Saccharomyces cerevisiae S288C: one gene and its partners. The protein of the gene in region 1 interacts with the protein of each later gene in a biochemical or structural test. Each region holds a gene or a part of one and is shown in the gene's direction. Other genes may lie near its edges.

Region 1 (5,638 bases):
GGAGCACCATACATCATAAGAGCTCTACACATGCGTAGGATGAACCGGTGTCTTTGTAAAATGTCTGCAATGTGAACCGTAATTTTCGCTTCAGTTTTTAGTCTTTTCTTCAGTCTAGGCATTCTGCCTTTTTTAGCCTTGCCTTTTAAATTTTGTAATCTGCTACGCTTGGCAACTGGTACGTCTTTGTTTCCAGCAGTAGAAGAAATACCTTCATCATCTGTTGTTACAGCTTGTGAATCTGAAAAGATTGAGCTTGAATTTTGATCTTCATTTTGGTAAAGTTTCAATAATGACCCTAGTACTCCACTTTTCACTTGAGATGGAGGGGGTACGTATGTGGAGGTTTCAATAAACCCTTCGTTATCGTCGGATGAATTGTTTTCTGCATAATCATCAAAATGATCCACTGCAGGAGCCAGAAATGAATTTTTTGAACTTGAGCCTAACGTTTCGCCATCCGACGTACAATTTACGTCACCTTCTAATTTGAGAGCCTCCAGTTTTTCTTTATCGTCGCCCTCATGAACGTCTACGATTTTAGACGCATCAGCTAGATCGGATAAGGGAATTTCTTCATTACGGTTATTTTTTTCTATATCATTCTTCCCATTTTCATTTTCTGAAGGTATTGGTGCCAAGCCAGGGACCAAACCCCCTTGATTTCCAGTCAGGTTATTTATTATCTTCTTGATGAACGTCTCATCGTCTCCATCCTTACCATTGTTCCTTAAATGTGTGAAAGAAACTTTAGGCTTCCTCTTGTGGCGAGCAGGCCTATCTTCTTCATCTTGTCCATCTGTGCCCTTAGAATTATCGCTGGTTTCTGTAGATCTTGAAGACAAATCATTTTCTAGAGCATCCGTATCAGCAGTGAATCTTACATTTTTGTTATCATTATTAGAAATACCTAGATCACTGATGCTTTTACCACTTAAATTGCCTTTTTTGCTCTCGGCTGAATTGGAAGTGCGATGGTCACTACTATCTTCAAGATTCACTCCCGCTTGACTTTGCTCGGAGCTTCCCACCCGAAAATCTGACACAGGAGTGGTTGGTTTTTCATTTCTACCGTCCATTGTATAGCCTATCGGTTATTCGATCTTTTTTCTTTTGTTATTCTATATCTAAAAGATAAAAGTCGCACACCGCTAAGTAAGTAAGTAAGTGTTATATAAGATTTATTTAGCTACGTTCTCAGATATAGTAGGCTTAAAACAAACGTAAAACATAGTTATATATTAATATGCAATTCGGTTTATTTCTTTTTCAAGATTCTTCCGAATTTCGTCATATTGGGTTCGCAATTTTTGGCGATGGCTTTGCTTCGATATTTTTCGGATGAAAATAGTCAAAGGACACTAGAAACACGAATGGCGCGCTGATTACGGAGACGTCGGGCTAAGACAAAGAGGGTCCATTCGGCGTGCTGGTGGTACTGTGACAGATAAACCCAATGCCCCACTTTTCTCGAGGAGTTGAAACAAGCGGGACAACTGCTACGTCATAAAAATGGGAGTACCAAGGGAGGAGCCATAAGCCGGGTAAAATTTGGCGCTGTTTTTCTTAATCTAAAAATAGTTCAACAATAAAATTTGGGCTCCGCCCATCCAGACCAAAGCAATCTTCGGCCTTAACAAGCCAAAGGGAACGAAACCCAGACTCTACCATGCATTTCGAACATGTTGTAGCTAACTACACTGGTAACCCAGATACCTATTCTCTCAGTAGCTGTTTCACCAAGACTCCGCACTCATGGTAAGTAGAAAAAGAAAACTCTCACAAAAATCTGAGTGGCACAGCTTTTCCAAATACGCTTTTTAAACTTGGAGAAATAAAGATGTATTACCCGCTGGTGCCTTAAAATATCCTTTTCTCCGGTTGTCCAATAATTTATGTTACGGCGGCTATTTGAGTTTTTGTGGAAATCTCTATCATTAATAAATGTCAGCCTTGTGTCTTAAATGCAATTCAACAGGGAAAAGGCGCGAGACTTCGGCGGCAAAAAGCCACAGACAAGTGCTGGTTGCAAAGAGGTAAAGAAGTAATGTGTGTAATCAAATAGATATATTAAGGTAGCAACTCACCGGTCTGTCCATTTTCTTTTCCTGAATAACTTCTTCTGTCTTCACACATTCATTTCATTTTTATTTTCCAATATCACTCAACGAGAAAGAAGTTACAAGATCTATCTTTCAAAATAGTTTACAGTTACCTTTACTTTACCCTTTCCCTTTTCAGTTTGTTACCCCTTCTCCTAAAAGTTTTATTTTTTGGGTAAAGATATAAAGGACACTCCAGTCGGTTAAGGTGGCTGTCTAGAGAATATAAACCTGTATTTATTTACCAGGCTTATCAGAAAAGTTAATCGTGTTCTTAAATATTCATTGAAAAGGAACGTGATACAGACGTAATAAAAGAAGAGTACTAAGCTTAACTTAATAGGTCATTTATGGTTGAAAAACGTAGTAGACAGAGTTCCAGTAGTGGCTCAGAGTTCAGTGTTCCACCTGATGTCGATAACCCGCCACTTTCTATCCCTTTGAAGACTTTATCAGACAGATATCAGCTGATCGAAAAACTAGGTGCAGGATCATTTGGTTGTGTAACTTTAGCCAAAGCGCAATTTCCTTTATCGAACATATTGGGTAAACAACATGATATAAGGGGTACTTTAATGGATCAGCCTAAAAATGGTCACCAAAACTATATAACAAAGACACAAGGTGTAGTGGCTATAAAGACAATGATGACAAAACTGCATACACTCCAGGATTATACGAGGGTCAGAGAAATTAAGTTCATACTGGCAATCCCAGCGAATGACCATCTGATACAAATTTTTGAGGTCTTTATTGACTCTGAAAATTACCAATTACATATCGTAATGGAATGTATGGAGCAAAACCTATATCAAATGATGAAACATAGAAGGCGCCGAGTTTTTTCGATTCCTTCTTTGAAATCTATTCTATCGCAGATACTGGCTGGGTTAAAACACATCCACGAACATAATTTCTTCCACAGAGATTTAAAACCTGAAAATATTCTTATCACACCAAGTACCCAGTATTTTGAAAAGGAGTACATGAACCAGATTGGATATCAAGATAACTATGTCATTAAACTTGCAGATTTTGGTTTGGCACGCCATGTTGAAAATAAAAACCCGTATACGGCCTACGTTTCCACAAGATGGTATAGATCGCCTGAAATATTATTAAGAAGTGGTTACTATTCCAAACCTTTGGATATTTGGGCATTCGGGTGCGTGGCGGTGGAAGTTACTGTATTCAGAGCTCTCTTCCCCGGTGCTAACGAAATCGATCAGATATGGAAAATTTTAGAAGTTCTTGGTACACCTATCAAACGTTCTGATTTTGTTAATACAAACCACATCACAGCTCCACCACCTGGTGGATTTTGGGATGATGCCAGTAATTTGGTCCATAAATTAAACTTGAAATTGCCTTATGTAGAAGGTTCATCGTTGGATCATCTACTTTCTAGCTCCCAACTATCCGATTTATCTGAGGTTGTCAAAAAGTGTTTAAGATGGGATCCTAATGAAAGGGCAACAGCCCAAGAGCTTTGTGAAATGCCATTTTTTGAAAACACCGTGGCATCCCAAGTAGACGCAAGAGGCAATGTGACTAATACAGAACAAGCATTGATTTTTGCAGGTATAAATCCAGTAGCGACCAACACAAAGCCCATATATTTTAACTCTTCAACAAAATTGCCCGCAGAAACAGAGTCTAATGATATTGATATCAGCAACAACGATCACGATTCTCATGCTATGTGCTCACCAACATTAAATCAAGAAAAACTAACTTTGGTAGAATTTTTAAACGAATTCGTTGAAGAAGATAATGATGATCACTCAATACCTGATGTTGGAACAGATTCTACCATTTCAGATTCTATTGATGAGACTGAATTATCAAAAGAAATTCGTAATAATTTGGCCCTTTGTCAACTACCAGATGAAGAAGTCTTAGATCATTCATTATCGAATATTAGGCAGTTGACAAATGATATTGAAATTATAAATAAAGATGAAGCAGACAACATGGAACAGCTATTTTTTGACCTGGAAATTCCTGAAAAGGATGAGTTTCAGAGAAAACAACCATTTAATGAACATGCAGATATTGATGAAGACATCGTTCTACCATATGTGAACAACTCAAATTACACACATACAGATAGGTCACATCATAGAGGTGATAATGTTTTGGGTGATGCCTCTTTAGGCGATTCGTTTAATTCAATGCCAGATTTTACTCCAAGAAATTTCTTGATACCTACATTAAAAAAATCACGGGAAAAGTTCGAGCCTCATCTATCCAATTCAAACCAACATTTTGGAAATGTAACCTTCTAATAATTTGTCATTTGACTGACGAATCGTTAGGCACAGTTATATAGTTATATACACATAGACATACATATGTTCGCATATATATTATATTACTATGCATTCACCTAAATAGCTACTGCTCTATTAATACAGTGCTTTTTCGATGGCTTTAATTTAACTTATTAGACATTACTTTGCGTTTATTCCCCTCCAATATATTTTTATGTTTGTTTTTCTTGAACATTTTATGATTTCTTGCTCTTGGCGGCTACTGATTTTGTTAAGCAACTCATCAAGAGGTCAAAAAAAGTAGAACGAGATCTTTGTGTTCGGTTACCCGGCTCAGATCCTAACTTGGTATGTTTATTCGTATAAGTTACTGTTGTCCACAGGCAATACTCTGCAGAAAATTAAAACGGCATTAATGCTAGGACAACCAGAACTGTTACTACTGTATGTGCGATAGTTGATAACTGCAACATTATGCCCGGTATATTCTCAAAAAACCCTATTACTGCATACGAAGAAATCGCAAGAGAAATCTTTCGGTTTGGAAAAGCTCACTGTGAGGTTCCTTGGAGCCAATAGTAATACAGCACAATCCAAGGAAAAATCTGGCCTATATGCAAGGAAGGAGAGATAGTCAAAAGCATTCTTTCCCCTAGAAGTTGGTGCATATATGGCATCGTTAAAACATATTACCCCCAAAATTTCTTCTCTAAACGATGTGCTTGGCCTTTGTTTTGGTTTTTGATGTCGGTCGTTTGAGGCCCCTTGCGGAAAATCGAGATCGCCGAATGGCACGCGAGGGAAGGGAAATAAGGTTTAAAGGCACTGAAACAATAGGCAAGAAGTAGGCGAGAGCCGACATACGAGACTAATGTGTCCGCGTTTCTAAGGCCACTTTTCAATGAAACGGATATTGATATGCTAGTAAAAGGACGAGCTCAAGAGCGAAAATATAAGTAAAGAATTCGAGTGCACTTGTCTCCATGCAGCAAGATTTCATATGAGTCTTTTTTATCTTTTTACTTTTTACATTACACGATATGCACTTTATGAAAATTTAACGAGGTTGGAAGCCGGATAATCAACCAAAATCAGGCACGAAGGCACACTCGTATATGCATGTTGTTGAAACTCTGTTACGCTGAACTAACAATCACACATGTAGAGGTCACCGGGAAAAGTTGCGACCCCATGGAAGGTCGATCTCTTCGTTTGGCTTTGCTTGGCTGGCGGCATTGCGCTTCTTCGCTTATACCCGTCTCT
Region 2 (4,280 bases), on another chromosome or scaffold:
CAAATCAGATTTTCAACGGTAAGGAAGGAGAAAAACGTGTAGTACAATTTGACGCTGGTAGCCATCATCTGGTGTTGCTATCTAATTTAGGTAAGGCTTATTGCTGCGCGACGGGAAATGATCAAAAACAAGCTCAAGTATCCAAAGGACAATTCGGTATACCAACATTCTCACAATTCGATGAGTTTCCTCCCAATAATCAACTATTCGAAATTGAACTGCTGAACAAATTTAAGCATGAAGGAGAAGACGTTGTCCGCAAAAGAGAAATTAAAAAGATAGCTTGCGGGTCGTACCATACACTGGCAATAGATAAGACTGGTGAAATTTATGCCTTTGGCTGGAATAGGTTCGGCCAATTGGCACTACCTATTTCGTACAATCTAGAATATGTTTCTTTCCCAAGATCGGTAACGCATGCATTTAAACCGCATTTCCCGGGGATGACGAATTGGAAATGTGTGGATATTCATTGTGATGATGAAACATCGTTTGTGACCATTCGTAAGCCTGGCTCAACGTCAGACCATCATTATTTCGCGTTTGGTAATGGACTTTTTGGTGAATTGGGCAACAACACTTTCAAGAACTCGCAATGTGATCCCATAAAAATCAAGTCGGATGACAAGAAATTGACCAACTGGAGTTGCGGCTCTCATTGTGTGTTCACTGAAACTGAACAAGAAAACGAGGTCATTGCATGGGGTAATAACGACCATGGCCAACTAGGTATTGGAAAGAAAACTATGAAATGCGCTAAGCCAATGAACATTCCCGAAGTTCTCAAACCAGGACAAGACACGACAGATTTGGACTCAATTTATAACAGTAAATTACACTTAAAAAAGGAGCAACGTGTAGTCACCAATGGTAATAAAAGTTGCTTATACTGGCGGGTTTGAGAAACGAAAGAGCATAGAAGGAAAGTAGCGAGATTCGCGATGTTTTTTCAACCCTTATAATGATGCATGTATATATGGTATGTTTATTTATATATAGAACTCACGGTTACTTCTATCTTAACCATTTCAACACATAATAAATACCTATGATCAAGAGAATTAACGCGATCCAAAAGACTAGTTTATCTTTGAACACCCGTTTATTGATAGAGGTGATAGTTTGTTCCGAAACACCCAATGTTCTTAGGCCATTTGACATTCTATCTTGTACCTTGGATAAAATTTTGTTTTGTTCCACTATATTTTCGAATGATTGTTGGCCCATTTCTAGAATGTAATCTAATTGAGCGTTACCCCTTTCGAAAACAGACTGTTCCTTTTGTAGCCCTTGGTACAACGGTAGTCCCCCACCGTTGCTAGAGCCCTCTTTACCATTTGCACTCGCACCACCAACGTTCCTTTTATTCATGATGGTCTCTGATGTACTAAAGGGGTTATCGGAGTCCATAACATGCGATGCTCCTGAGCCAAACAACTGAGTTCTGGAATTATTTTCGTTGTAGGATTGTTTTAAATCCTTAAACTTGGCAGTAAAGTCGTGCAGATCCTGTGTTAAAGTTGCTAGTCGATTAGCGAACTTAGGATCAATTTCCTCTGCATTAGTATCTTCTTTATATCTGTTTAAATGTTCTGCATATTGCTTAACTGTTTTCTCCAGTGAGACCAGAGTTGCAGAGATGGACCCTTGTAAAGAAATAGGGGCGGTCACAGAATTCTTTTCAAACCTGGCCAACTCTTGTTGTAGTTGATTTTTTTGCTTCACAGCATGGTTGTAAAGAGCGTTCTATTTGATGGTAGTAGCAAAATACCCTGTTAGTATTACATCTTGTTTTAGCAATAATGAGAAAAGATGCCTCCGGCGATCAAACATACCATTCCCCCCTCAAATCAATATGATTAAGTCACGATAATATCTGCACTATTGCCGTGTTTCCTTCTCCATCGACAGCGTCGATCCTGTCTATTATAGCCAGCACACTGAAAATTTCAATGGCTGGCTTGTTGTTCGCGTCGCAACTTTTGATATTTATAAAAAGAGAGAAGGCATATCCAAAGGATAAGGTATTGTCTTTGTAAATCAATCAACCAAACCTCTACGGAATTTTGACCCTTGAAGCAGGGACTATTACACGAAAATGACTCCTTCCACCCCACCAAGGTCCAGAGGGACTAGGTACCTTGCGCAGCCTAGTGGCAATACTAGTTCTAGTGCCCTAATGCAAGGTCAAAAGACCCCCCAAAAGCCTTCACAGAACCTAGTCCCTGTCACTCCCTCAACAACTAAGTCTTTTAAAAATGCGCCATTATTAGCACCTCCCAATTCGAACATGGGTATGACCTCTCCATTTAATGGGCTTACGTCTCCTCAACGCTCGCCGTTTCCAAAATCTTCAGTGAAGAGGACACTATTCCAATTTGAAAGTCATGATAATGGAACAGTAAGGGAAGAGCAGGAACCATTGGGTCGTGTAAATAGGATATTGTTTCCCACGCAGCAAAATGTGGATATAGATGCAGCAGAAGAAGAAGAAGAAGGAGAAGTTCTTCTTCCCCCCAGCAGACCTACATCTGCCAGGCAGTTACATTTATCACTTGAAAGAGATGAGTTTGATCAGACACATAGAAAGAAGATTATTAAAGATGTACCTGGTACGCCCAGCGACAAGGTGATAACATTTGAATTGGCAAAAAATTGGAACAACAACTCTCCGAAAAATGACGCCAGGAGTCAAGAAAGTGAAGACGAGGAAGACATCATCATCAATCCAGTGCGGGTGGGTAAAAATCCCTTTGCATCAGATGAACTGGTCACTCAGGAAATTAGAAATGAACGTAAAAGGGCAATGTTGAGAGAAAACCCAGATATAGAAGACGTAATAACATATGTCAATAAGAAGGGAGAGGTGGTAGAGAAACGAAGGTTAACGGATGAAGAAAAGAGAAGATTCAAGCCAAAGGCATTGTTTCAATCTAGGGATCAAGAGCATTGAAGAAATGAAAAAAAAAAGTTTCTGGAACGATTATATTTTATTTACTTACTTATTCTACATTTATTTGCAAAGGGGCATTAACATCAACATTTTACATATTATAATATATACAGGATATTCTATATTACAACATTAACAGGATTTTTAACTTTTCCTTACCGTATTCTTTTATTCTGGTTTTCTGTCTTCAGAATAATAGCATATTTCATTGTAGTATTTCGTCAAAGCGAGTTAGGGGAGGATGACTACAAGAAAGACAGCTTCCTCTCTTCAGCTTTTAGGGAAAATCACAGGAACAAAAGCTGGAACTAAGCAAAAGAAGATGAATTTCATTAATGGACTGATATGGTTATATATGTGTGTGTGGATGGTACACGGAAAAGTGACGCAGAAGGATGAATTGAAATGGAATAAAGGATACTCGCTACCAAATTTGCTAGAAGTGACAGATCAGCAAAAAGAACTTTCACAATGGACTTTGGGTGACAAAGTAAAACTTGAAGAAGGGAGGTTTGTTTTAACTCCTGGAAAGAACACAAAGGGTTCACTTTGGTTGAAACCTGAATATTCAATAAAGGATGCAATGACAATAGAGTGGACGTTTAGAAGTTTCGGGTTCAGAGGCAGCACAAAGGGGGGTCTTGCATTTTGGCTGAAGCAAGGAAATGAGGGAGATAGTACCGAGTTATTTGGTGGAAGTTCGAAGAAGTTTAATGGTTTGATGATATTGTTACGATTAGACGATAAGTTGGGAGAGAGCGTGACAGCGTATTTGAATGACGGAACAAAAGATCTTGATATTGAATCCTCACCGTACTTTGCGTCATGTCTGTTCCAATACCAGGATTCCATGGTACCATCAACATTAAGATTGACTTACAATCCACTAGATAATCACTTGTTAAAGTTGCAAATGGACAACAGAGTGTGTTTCCAGACAAGGAAAGTTAAATTTATGGGCAGCAGCCCATTTAGGATTGGAACAAGTGCTATCAACGATGCATCCAAAGAATCGTTTGAAATCTTGAAAATGAAGCTTTATGACGGAGTTATAGAGGATTCGCTAATTCCTAACGTGAATCCTATGGGACAACCCAGAGTGGTTACTAAAGTGATCAATTCTCAAACTGGTGAAGAGAGTTTCAGGGAAAAGATGCCATTTTCTGATAAGGAAGAAAGTATAACGAGTAACGAGCTTTTCGAAAAGATGAACAAGTTGGAGGGGAAAATCATGGCAAATGATATCGATCCATTACTCCGCAAGATGAACAAGATTGTGGAGAATGAACGTGAACTGATTCAACGTTTAAGACCACTGTTAGATCTG
Region 3 (5,303 bases), on another chromosome or scaffold:
CATTATCAGGATTTGCTTTTATAGTTATCAACGTGTTGACTGTATTCTATTACGATCCAAACCTTAACACAGATACGCCTCGCTGGACATATTTTTCTTACGCTTTAGGTGTATTCCTATATCAAACGTTCGATGGATGTGATGGTGTACACGCTCGCCGTATCAATCAATCAGGACCCTTAGGAGAACTATTCGATCATAGTATTGATGCCATTAATTCTACTCTGTCTATTTTCATCTTCGCATCCGAAACTGGAATGGGATTTTCGTATAACTTAATGTTATCCCAATTTGCGATGCTGACGAATTTTTACTTAAGTACTTGGGAAGAGTACCATACACACACATTATACTTAAGTGAGTTTTCTGGACCCGTGGAAGGCATCCTGATTGTTTGCGTTTCATTGATACTGACAGGTATATACGGAAAACAGGTAATCTGGCATACCTACTTATTTACAATTACAGTTGGTGATAAGGTAATTGATGTAGACACTCTAGATATTGTTTTTTCCCTAGCTGTTTTCGGTTTGGTTATGAACGCATTGTCTGCGAAAAGAAACGTGGATAAGTATTATAGAAACAGCACTTCTTCGGCCAACAATATCACGCAAATTGAGCAAGATAGTGCTATAAAAGGTCTTTTGCCCTTTTTTGCCTATTATGCAAGCATTGCTTTACTAGTGTGGATGCAACCAAGCTTTATTACACTCTCTTTCATCCTTTCCGTTGGTTTCACGGGAGCATTTACCGTCGGAAGAATAATCGTTTGCCATTTAACTAAGCAGAGCTTTCCCATGTTCAATGCACCCATGTTAATTCCTTTGTGCCAGATAGTATTGTACAAAATATGTCTATCCCTTTGGGGAATTGAGTCTAATAAAATCGTCTTTGCCCTATCTTGGCTTGGGTTCGGTCTCTCACTAGGTGTTCACATTATGTTTATGAATGACATTATCCATGAATTTACTGAGTACCTGGACGTTTATGCTTTATCCATCAAGCGCTCCAAGCTGACATAAATCGCACTTTGTATCTACTTTTTTTTATTCGAAAACAAGGCACAACAATGAATCTATCGCCCTGTGAGATTTTCAATCTCAAGTTTGTGTAATAGATAGCGTTATATTATAGAACTATAAAGGTCCTTGAATATACATAGTGTTTCATTCCTATTACTGTATATGTGACTTTACATTGTTACTTCCGCGGCTATTTGACGTTTTCTGCTTCAGGTGCGGCTTGGAGGGCAAAGTGTCAGAAAATCGGCCAGGCCGTATGACACAAAAGAGTAGAAAACGAGATCTCAAATATCTCGAGGCCTGTCCTCTATACAACCGCCCAGCTCTCTGACAAAGCTCCAGAACGGTTGTCTTTTGTTTCGAAAAGCCAAGGTCCCTTATAATTGCCCTCCATTTTGTGTCACCTATTTAAGCAAAAAATTGAAAGTTTACTAACCTTTCATTAAAGAGAAATAACAATATTATAAAAAGCGCTTAAAATGAATGAAATGGAAAACACAGATCCAGTATTACAGGATGATCTCGTATCCAAATATGAGAGGGAATTAAGCACAGAACAGGAAGAGGATACGCCTGTTATCCTTACGCAGTTGAATGAAGATGGCACCACTTCGAATTATTTCGACAAAAGGAAACTAAAAATTGCCCCTAGATCAACACTACAGTTCAAAGTGGGACCTCCATTTGAATTAGTGAGAGATTATTGTCCAGTCGTTGAGTCTCATACCGGAAGAACACTAGATTTACGAATTATTCCAAGAATTGACAGAGGGTTCGACCATATTGATGAAGAGTGGGTAGGTTATAAAAGAAATTATTTTACCTTAGTATCAACGTTTGAAACGGCAAATTGTGATTTGGATACTTTTTTAAAGAGCAGTTTTGATCTTCTCGTTGAAGACTCTTCAGTAGAAAGCAGATTAAGAGTGCAATATTTCGCTATCAAAATAAAAGCTAAGAATGACGACGACGACACGGAAATCAATCTCGTCCAGCATACAGCGAAACGCGACAAAGGTCCTCAATTTTGTCCTTCAGTATGTCCGTTGGTGCCTTCCCCTTTGCCAAAACATCAAATCATAAGAGAAGCTTCAAATGTTCGAAATATCACTAAAATGAAAAAATACGATTCCACTTTTTATTTGCACAGAGACCACGTTAATTATGAAGAATATGGAGTGGACTCTTTATTGTTTTCCTATCCAGAAGATTCTATTCAGAAAGTTGCCCGTTATGAAAGAGTTCAATTTGCTTCATCAATTAGCGTGAAGAAACCATCCCAACAAAATAAACACTTTAGCTTGCATGTAATTTTAGGTGCAGTGGTAGATCCAGATACCTTTCATGGGGAGAATCCCGGAATTCCTTATGATGAACTGGCTTTAAAAAATGGATCAAAAGGGATGTTTGTGTATTTGCAAGAAATGAAAACGCCTCCTCTTATTATTAGAGGAAGATCACCTTCTAACTATGCGTCATCTCAGCGAATAACTGTGAGAACACCGTCGAGTGTCAATTCCTCACAAAACAGCACAAAAAGAAAAATGCCATCAATGGCGCAGCCGTTAAATGAAAGTTGCTTAAATGCAAGACCTTCGAAAAGGCGATCCAAAGTGGCGCTAGGTGCACCGAACTCTGGGGCCTCCATCTCGCCTATCAAATCTCGTCAATCCACACCAATGGAAGCTTCGAAGGAAAATGAGGATCCGTTCTTCAGGCCAAATAAAAGGGTGGAGACTCTTGAACATATCCAGAACAAACTGGGTGCTTTGAAAAATCAATGTCCAGATTCCTCTCTGAAATATCCGAGTTCATCTTCAAGAGGTATGGAAGGGTGTTTAGAAAAGGAGGATTTAGTTTACTCAAGTAGTTTTTCTGTTAATATGAAGCAAATCGAACTGAAACCGGCACGCTCTTTTGAACATGAGAATATTTTCAAAGTAGGCTCATTAGCATTCAAAAAAATCAATGAATTACCTCATGAAAATTATGATATAACAATAGAGAAGAAATCAATGGAACAGAATTATCTAAGACCAGAGATAGGCTCACGTTCTGAATGCAAAACAAGCTATGGTAACGAACTCTCCCTTTCAAATATTTCTTTCTCTATACTACCTAACTCAGCAGAAAATTTTCACTTGGAAACTGCACTTTTCCCAGCTACGGAAGAGGATGTGCCAAGGACATTTTCAAGAATATTAGAAACAGGTTCGTTTCAAAATTATTATCAAAAAATGGATGCAGAAAATGCAGATAGGGTATATTCGAAAGGGGTCAAGTTGATTGCAAGCGGTACTCTACCATCTGGTATATTTAATAGGGAAGAATTGTTTGAGGAAGATAGTTTCTATAAGTATTAAATAAACTAATGATTTTAAATCGTTAAAAAAATATGCGAATTCTGTGGATCGAACACAGGACCTCCAGATAACTTGACCGAAGTTTTTTCTTCAGTCTGGCGCTCTCCCAACTGAGCTAAATCCGCTTACTATTTGTTATCAGTTCCCTTCATATCTACATAGAATAGGTTAAGTATTTTATTAGTTGCCAGAAGAACTACTGATAGTTGGGAATATTTGGTGAATAATGAAGATTGGGTGAATAATTTGATAATTTTGAGATTCAATTGTTAATCAATGTTACAATATTATGTATACAGAGTATACTAGAAGTTCTCTTCGGAGATCTTGAAGTTCACAAAAGGGAATCGATATTTCTACATAATATTATCATTACTTCTTCCCCATCTTATATTTGTCATTCATTATTGATTATGATCAATGCAATAATGATTGGTAGTTGCCAAACATTTAATACGATCCTCTGTAATATTTCTATGAATAATTATCACAGCAACGTTCAATTATCTTCAATTCGGCTTCAGTACTGTATGAAATACTCGCTAACATTTTCTTTATTCTATAATAGCACAGTGACACTTAAACGTCAAACGTGGCGCACATTAATATACGATGTATGCATTTGGCTTGACACTGCTGTAATAAGGAACATCATCATCCGTCAACTAGTAGTCACATTAGTAGTGTATTATCACATGGTGTGTAAGAACATTACGTAAAGATTGAAAAAAAGTCATCAAAAATAAAGGAAGCTGAAACGCAAGGACTAGTAGTGTAATAGAATAATATTGTGTAAAAGTATCGATACCCTTTTTGGAATTATTGTATCTTCGAGGGTGGCTTTTAATATATTTTTGAAAACCTAATATTATAACCTTTCACAACAACGAAATCCCAACTGTTGTGTAATAATTTTACTCAATTCTTACTATTGCTTTACCAATCCTTGTATTTGAGCTCTCATAAAGTTCGCTGACTACTTCTCACGACTCATGTCATCTCCTTATACTGTATATGATAATATACTGGTGGTGAATGACAGCAAACTCTTTCTGGAAAACTTCTTGTCCTAAAGAACAAAATCAGTGTAATGTGTAGGCCAGTGTTATGTTTTCATGAATATGACATCTGATAAGAATAAAACAACTGGTAAAATGACTGCTTTTTCGGCTTATAAAATTCTAACATGTACATATTTTTTATAAAATGAAAATACTATTGTCCTTAATTGTACAATTTTTACATTTGGAGGCCAAATTATAAAAATAATAGCGCTGCTACTCCAACTATATAACCCATGTTCTTGGATTCAACCTTCATACCAGCACCTTCATAGACAGAGACATTTGCGGTACTACTTGGGGTAGTAGCAGCGGTAGTCTCAGGTCCAGACGCAGTGGCTTGGATTTGACCATCACTGATCTGTGAAATAGCGGCATCTTGCTTTTTGCCGGGTTGATGATCTGCAACAGCGCTTCTATTGGAACGATACAATGAGCCATTCCAACCACCCACATCATATACAGCTGCATTAGATATCTTTTTCTGCTGAGCTGCTAAGGACCAAGATGCGCTGCTGTTGAAGGCTTCATCAGTCGAATTAAATTTTCCTTCTATGTACGAGTTCGTACTATTCGCAAATTGTACGTCCAACGTGTCTGAGGAGTTGCTTACTTGTGCATGTGCAACTAGAATATTGGTGATGGCAAACAATGTGGAAACTAAAGTGCACTTCATGGTAGATTAATTATGATGTTCGTTTGATTCTGTTCTATATTTTTTATATGCTGACTGAACAGATTATAAAAATTAAATTACATGAAGTATTGAAGTTAATGTTGGCTATTTTTGAGGAGGAGGTTCACCTTTATATAGTATTCCTCGAGCTACAAAAACATGGATATTTTTACAAATGCTA
Region 4 (5,867 bases), on another chromosome or scaffold:
AGTAAAATAATGGGTGTCATCAAGAAGAAAAGATCGCACCATGGAAAGGCTTCGCGCCAACAATACTACTCTGGGGTACAGGTTGGGGGAGTAGGCAGCATGGGCGCCATAAACAATAACATCCCGTCGTTGACGAGCTTCGCGGAGGAAAACAACTATCAGTACGGATACAGCGGCTCCAGTGCCGGCATGAATGGCAGATCGCTTACGTACGCGCAGCAACAGCTTAATAAGCAAAGACAGGACTTCGAACGTGTACGACTTAGACCAGAACAGCTCAGCAATATCATACATGACGAGAGCGACACGATATCGTTCCGATCCAACCTTTTGAAGAACTTTATAAGCTCGAACGACGCATTTAACATGCTGAGTTTGACCACGGTACCGTGCGACAGAATTGAGAAGTCCAGATTGTTCAGTGAAAAAACAATAAGATATCTCATGCAAAAACAACACGAAATGAAAACACAAGCGGCAGAGTTGCAAGAAAAGCCTCTGACGCCACTTAAATACACAAAACTTATAGCTGCGGCAGAGGACGGAAGCCGTAGCACAAAGGATATGATAGATGCTGTCTTCGAGCAAGATAGTCATTTGAGGTACCAGCCGGACGGCGTGGTCGTACATCGTGACGATCCTGCGCTGGTGGGTAAACTCCGCGGAGATCTCCGCGAAGCGCCGGCGGACTACTGGACGCATGCTTATAGGGATGTTTTGGCGCAATACCACGAGGCCAAGGAGCGTATCAGGCAGAAGGAAGTAACTGCAGGTGAAGCACAGGACGAAGCCAGCTTGCAGCAGCAACAGCAGCAAGATTTGCAGCAACAGCAACAAGTAGTGACTACAGTTGCCTCGCAAAGTCCTCATGCAACTGCAACGGAAAAGGAGCCAGTACCCGCCGTGGTTGACGACCCACTGGAGAACATGTTCGGAGATTATTCCAATGAGCCGTTCAACACCAATTTCGACGATGAATTTGGAGATCTTGATGCTGTATTTTTTTAATAGCCATGGGCGGCTACTTCTTGGAAATATATACTTTCCTTTTACATATTTAGTATAGTTATACATGTGGATGTGTATGGAGGTAAGATCAGATAGACCCTTCACTGTTTTCTGTGTATTCCTTGTGACATAGTGGATTTGTGCAGCTACTGCTTATAGGAAGCAGTGCCTGCAAAACAATTCATTCGTTGGTTGATGTGGCGCGCTGACTGAATGTGTAGGGTCTGTTGTTACCCCCTTGCTCCGGGGGCCCACATCTCTCTGACGCGAAGAAAGGCTCGAGATGTGCCAGTCGTAAACACCGCCTCATTTCCCTTGCATTCTCCTCCAGTGAAAAAGCAGTACGACCTATCTCCGAAAAAAAAAAACCTCCTGTGCGTTTACTGTGGATCATGCAACACGATTTCTGTAGATTAAAGACGTTTTTGGCATGGACTAAGCTAAATTCCGTTTGATTAGCCGCCCATAACGGGTGGCAAACAACACGATGAAACTCTATATCCCCGCTTAACGTTTCGGCGGCTGTGATCAAGGAAAATAGTATATAAGTTCGTCGGATTTCTTATTTGTTTTCTCTCTTCCTTTCTCTCTCCCTTTCTCGTGCTTGGTTGTTTTCCTTAATTAGTTAAAACAATAAAAGAACAAGAAGGAGAAGGCGATTTTGGACTAGAAAATCACGAAGAAAAAATATCTAATTGCATTCCTATATATATTTATATACATACTCTCTATTGTTTGTTTTTTGCCTGCTCAAGAAGAAAGAAAGAAAAAAATATTATCTTTTTTAGCTTGTTGAAACATGAAAACCGAAATCAGCACTGCGGATTCCCTTCGTGATCCTCCCTCTAATGGTCTAAAGGCCGACTCTGAGCTGGTTATCAGAGAGGATATAGACCAATTTTTGCCTTCGGAAGTATCTTCGTTGGGGTCAGATCACCAGAATGATGGTGAGGATTCAGACACTGACAGTGACAACTTTTTGCAAGACCCTGAAGACGATGTGGATGAAGAAAGCACTGGTAGAGGTACAGTCACTACCACTTCCACATCCACTGAGTCAAGAGGCCGTCCATCTTCTTGTATCTTCGTGGCAAGCTTAGCAGCAGCCCTATCCGATGACGAATTATGTCTGTCGGTGACTGAAAATTTCAAAAAATACGGTGATTTGGCTAGAGTTAAAGTTTTGCGTGATAACGCAAATAGACCTTATGCTTTTGTTCAATACAACAACGATCATGATGCTAAACATGCTCTGATCCGCGCTCAGGGTACTTTATTAAATGGCAGAAGGTTGCGTTGTGAACCTGCAAAAGTGAACAGGACATTGTACTTGAAAAACCAGCAAAGTATTGATTTCAACGAGATCAGTCAAATTTGTGAAAAATTTGGTGGTTTGGAACAGATTGTTCCTGATAGAACTGATAATCAATACACGAGAAGATATACTTATCCGATATCTTCGGCAAATTCTTGGTTTGTTCAATTCGTTTACAGAGACGATGCAATCAGAGCTTATGCGAATTTACGAACTGATCCCAATTGGATCATCGAATGGGCACAAAATATAAACGTCCCAAAAAATTATAACCTTTTACACAAAAGCAAATTCAAAAGTTCCAAATACCATCAAAACAACGGTATTATCAATAACGATGGTAGTAACAACAACGATAATAATAATAGTAATAATAATAATAGAGAGGATTCAAGGAGGAATGGCGACGTTATAGAAGAGGAGTGCGGACATGTGCATGGTAGTGATTCAGAGGAAAAATTGACAAGCGATGGTATTTATGACGACGAAGATAAAGATTCCGAGATCACCATTGATAAAAGATCCATTTTCGTGGGTCAATTAGACAAAGAAACCACCAGAGAGGAATTGAATAGAAGATTTTCCACTCATGGTAAAATCCAAGATATTAATTTAATCTTCAAGCCAACAAACATATTTGCGTTTATTAAATATGAAACCGAAGAAGCTGCTGCTGCTGCTTTGGAAAGTGAAAACCATGCAATTTTTTTGAATAAGACAATGCATGTTCAATATAAAGAGGTAGGTGGTCGTCACAACAGGAAGTTCTCTGGTAAGAACGGTGGCAGCAACTTTAACCATCATCAGTTTTTTAGCACCAGATCGGGCAAAACATTTACAGGGCCAGAACTGAACTTAGCACCACCACCAATCAACATGTACAGGAAAATGAGCGGCGGATCCCAGCAGGAAAGCGAAACTATGATGCCATACATGCCCATGGGGCCCATGCCCATGGGGCCTCCACCACCAAATGCAGCAAGTCTCAGTGATTTTGATATGTTCCCCCCAAGTTACTCCACGTTTATGAAGGGAATGATGCCATTGAGGCGTAAATCTATGCCCAATTCTTGGTCATCCCCTTCTTCAAAGAGTGTGAACTCTGAAAATGAAAGTGTTAATGGTGGTGATGAGAATTCCGAATTGCCTTCCGAAATTCCTGAATCATCTGGTAGATATAATGCTGCTAATTCCTTTACCACATATAATAATTCCTCAGCAGGAAACTCTAACAACAACAACAACAACAACAACAGTAACAGTAATAAGTCTCAATATAAAAAGCGCTATGCAAGGAGGTCAAGCTACGGATACAATGAAGTACCTCCAAAACCATACTATTTCCAGCCTTATTACTATCACCCCATGCAATACCATATGGGCCCAATGGGCCCATTGCATCCTTCTCAAGGTTCTGCTGGAAATCACCATCCATATATGATGGTTTATCCCATGTCACCACCTCCGCCTTCTGGGTTAGATGGAAGCATGATCCCTCCTCCAATAAATGTAAGCCAATCACATGCTGCTAATCATGGCAGTACCCATGTTCATGCGAACGAATTCATATCAAACGATACTGGTGACATAAATGAAGATAACAAAGCTTATAGTTTAGATTACTAAAAATGATTGGTCGTAAAAGCTGCAAAAGATGTATGTAATTCAGCGGTGATGTTAACTTTAAAAGTGCAGTTTCGTTTTCTTTTTCGTCTCCCTATTTTTTTCTCTGGATCTTTTTTTTTTTTTTCACTTGGTATTGTTTTCATCCTTCTTTCCTTCTTTTACCTTCTTTGTCTCCTAATATAACAATACATACTTTCGAGTTTTGATTACAAGTCACTCGAAATGTTTTTTTCCTTTTATATATTCTTCCTTTTGTCTATTCTTATATACACATATTTTAATTTTTGGTAGATTTTTTTTTTTTTACTTACATTTTGTTACAATAGAGAGATTTACCAATGGTGTATCTCGATTAAATACTTATCTAGAGCATTGAGCAATTTCTTTAGGTCATGTCTGCTAATTTCCTCTTTGATGATAACCAATTCCATGGGGACCTTTCCATTGAAGTACTTGAGCAACTTGTTAAAAAGAATCTGGATATCTGAAGGCTGACCATAAATACATCTATAAAGCCATCTTTTTTCAATCGCAGTGGCTCTTTCAGGTTCCAAAATTATAGTATAGTCATGTTGCATTTCTGGATCATCGTATTCGAAGTGTAGTATTTCTTCTTCATCCGCAATAGCTATTTCATTGTCATCACGATCATCAACACGACTATCATTTTCGTTATCTTTTTCGTCCACATCTTTGTTGTTGTCGTTGGACTGCATGCCTTCATTCTTTCCTGAACACGCTTCGCTGGCGTTTGCATCTCTACTTTGCCCATCTTCATCATCCAGCTTTTTATCAGTTTTTTTGTAGTCCATGCTGGGCCTTCTAGCAGTATTAGTCTTACGGAAGCCTTCCTTTTCTAGATCCTCATCTACTGCCATTTTTATGTGTTTGTCCACTCGGATATTTATGAAAGTCAATAATTGGGTTACATACCCGTACTGTATTAACCACGCTAACGCGTTCAGGTAAACTGGCTTATGTTCCCTTGATGGGATTATGTTACTGTACGCTTGAGGTTTGTCCGTGGACAACAAACTTAAAAAAATGGGTAAACTGGGCAATGATGGGAATTTGGATCTGAACAACATCGAATTTTGATAAATTAGTGGTACTCTGTCGCTTCCACTCTTATTATTTTCGCGATCGTCCATTTTTTTCACGTTCCCATCATTTTGTGAAGTACTTTTATAATCATCTATTGTATAACCTTGAATAGGAGCCAAGGGTGAAACAATATACGTGTATTTGGAGCTTAGTGGGATCACTATTCTTGCATGTCTCCAATACATTAAATGCAATGCGCAAGAGCGCAGTATGCTTGATTCCAATGAGTTTGTTTCTGTAGTAAGGTCGTCCAGTGAAGAAGGGTTATCTAATAAATCAGTTATCAGATAGCGATACGACCTTAGAGGGATATTTGGCTGGATATTTCTGACTAAATGTTTCAATATGATAGTGCCAATATCGTCCTGGTATGAAAAAGTTTCGAGGGAGCTAATAATATTATTTGGCTCGTCCAATAATAATAGCGCATAGTTTAAAAGGTCATCATTGTCGTCGCAGTAGTAATTGCTTTCATTGTCGTCCCCGTCATCCACATTTGCTGCTCCACAGTGGCCGGTACTATTAATATTATTGCCAAACCTGTATATGTTATTATTGGTATCACTGAATTGAGCCTGATCGTTTTGACGATTTTGACTTTCAATTCTCAATGATGATTTTTCTAAAAATTTCATGTTCAAAATGGACGTCAAATATGAGCCTCTTAGCACGGGTTGCAGTTTGAAGTTTGGCATTTTTTCAAACTCGTTTTGAATCGGGATTTGCAAGGAAATTACTTTATCGTCATTGATCTCAAGACATGCGATTTCATTTCGTTGGATTTTATCAACACATTCCGTTAGCGCCCTAGCCA

Evidence for each region.
Region 2: of the proteins of IME2 (region 1) and SIC1, one has a biochemical effect on the other in vitro, tested with the Saccharomyces cerevisiae proteins (2 studies listed by BioGRID).
Region 3: of the proteins of IME2 (region 1) and NDT80, one has a biochemical effect on the other in vitro, tested with the Saccharomyces cerevisiae proteins (4 studies listed by BioGRID).
Region 4: of the proteins of IME2 (region 1) and RIM4, one has a biochemical effect on the other in vitro, tested with the Saccharomyces cerevisiae proteins (2 studies listed by BioGRID).

The regions. Positions count from the first base shown.
Region 1 is NC_001142.9:218,938-224,575, forward strand, and holds IME2 (protein kinase IME2), read left to right. Parts: upstream 1-2,452; coding exon 2,453-4,390; downstream 4,391-5,638. Other genes in the region: YJL107C (uncharacterized protein), read right to left, coding at 1-1,079. UniProt on the Saccharomyces cerevisiae protein: Protein kinase which is essential for the initiation of meiosis and sporulation.
Region 2 is NC_001144.5:284,722-289,001, forward strand, and holds SIC1 (cyclin-dependent protein serine/threonine kinase inhibiting protein SIC1), read left to right. Parts: upstream 1-2,098; coding exon 2,099-2,953; downstream 2,954-4,280. Other genes in the region: FMP25 (Fmp25p), read left to right, coding at 1-902; BOS1 (Bos1p), read right to left, coding at 1,015-1,746, 1,836-1,838; EMP46 (Emp46p), read left to right, coding at 3,195-4,280. UniProt on the Saccharomyces cerevisiae protein: Substrate and inhibitor of the cyclin-dependent protein kinase CDC28. Its activity could be important for faithful segregation of chromosomes to daughter cells. It acts in response to a signal from a post-start checkpoint.
Region 3 is NC_001140.6:355,060-360,362, forward strand, and holds NDT80 (transcription factor NDT80), read left to right. Parts: upstream 1-1,501; coding exon 1,502-3,385; downstream 3,386-5,303. Other genes in the region: EPT1 (bifunctional diacylglycerol cholinephosphotransferase/ethanolaminephosphotransferase), read left to right, coding at 1-1,022; YHR125W (uncharacterized protein), read left to right, coding at 3,799-4,104; ANS1 (Ans1p), read right to left, coding at 4,643-5,122. UniProt on the Saccharomyces cerevisiae protein: Transcription factor required for successful completion of meiosis and spore formation. Gets activated after completion of meiotic recombination at the end of prophase I.
Region 4 is NC_001140.6:54,842-60,708, forward strand, and holds RIM4 (Rim4p), read left to right. Parts: upstream 1-1,807; coding exon 1,808-3,949; downstream 3,950-5,867. Other genes in the region: SNF6 (Snf6p), read left to right, coding at 10-1,008; NPR3 (Npr3p), read right to left, coding at 4,282-5,867. UniProt on the Saccharomyces cerevisiae protein: Positive regulator of sporulation-specific genes and of sporulation. Required for premeiotic DNA synthesis and meiotic chromosomal segregation. May act in a nutritional signaling pathway.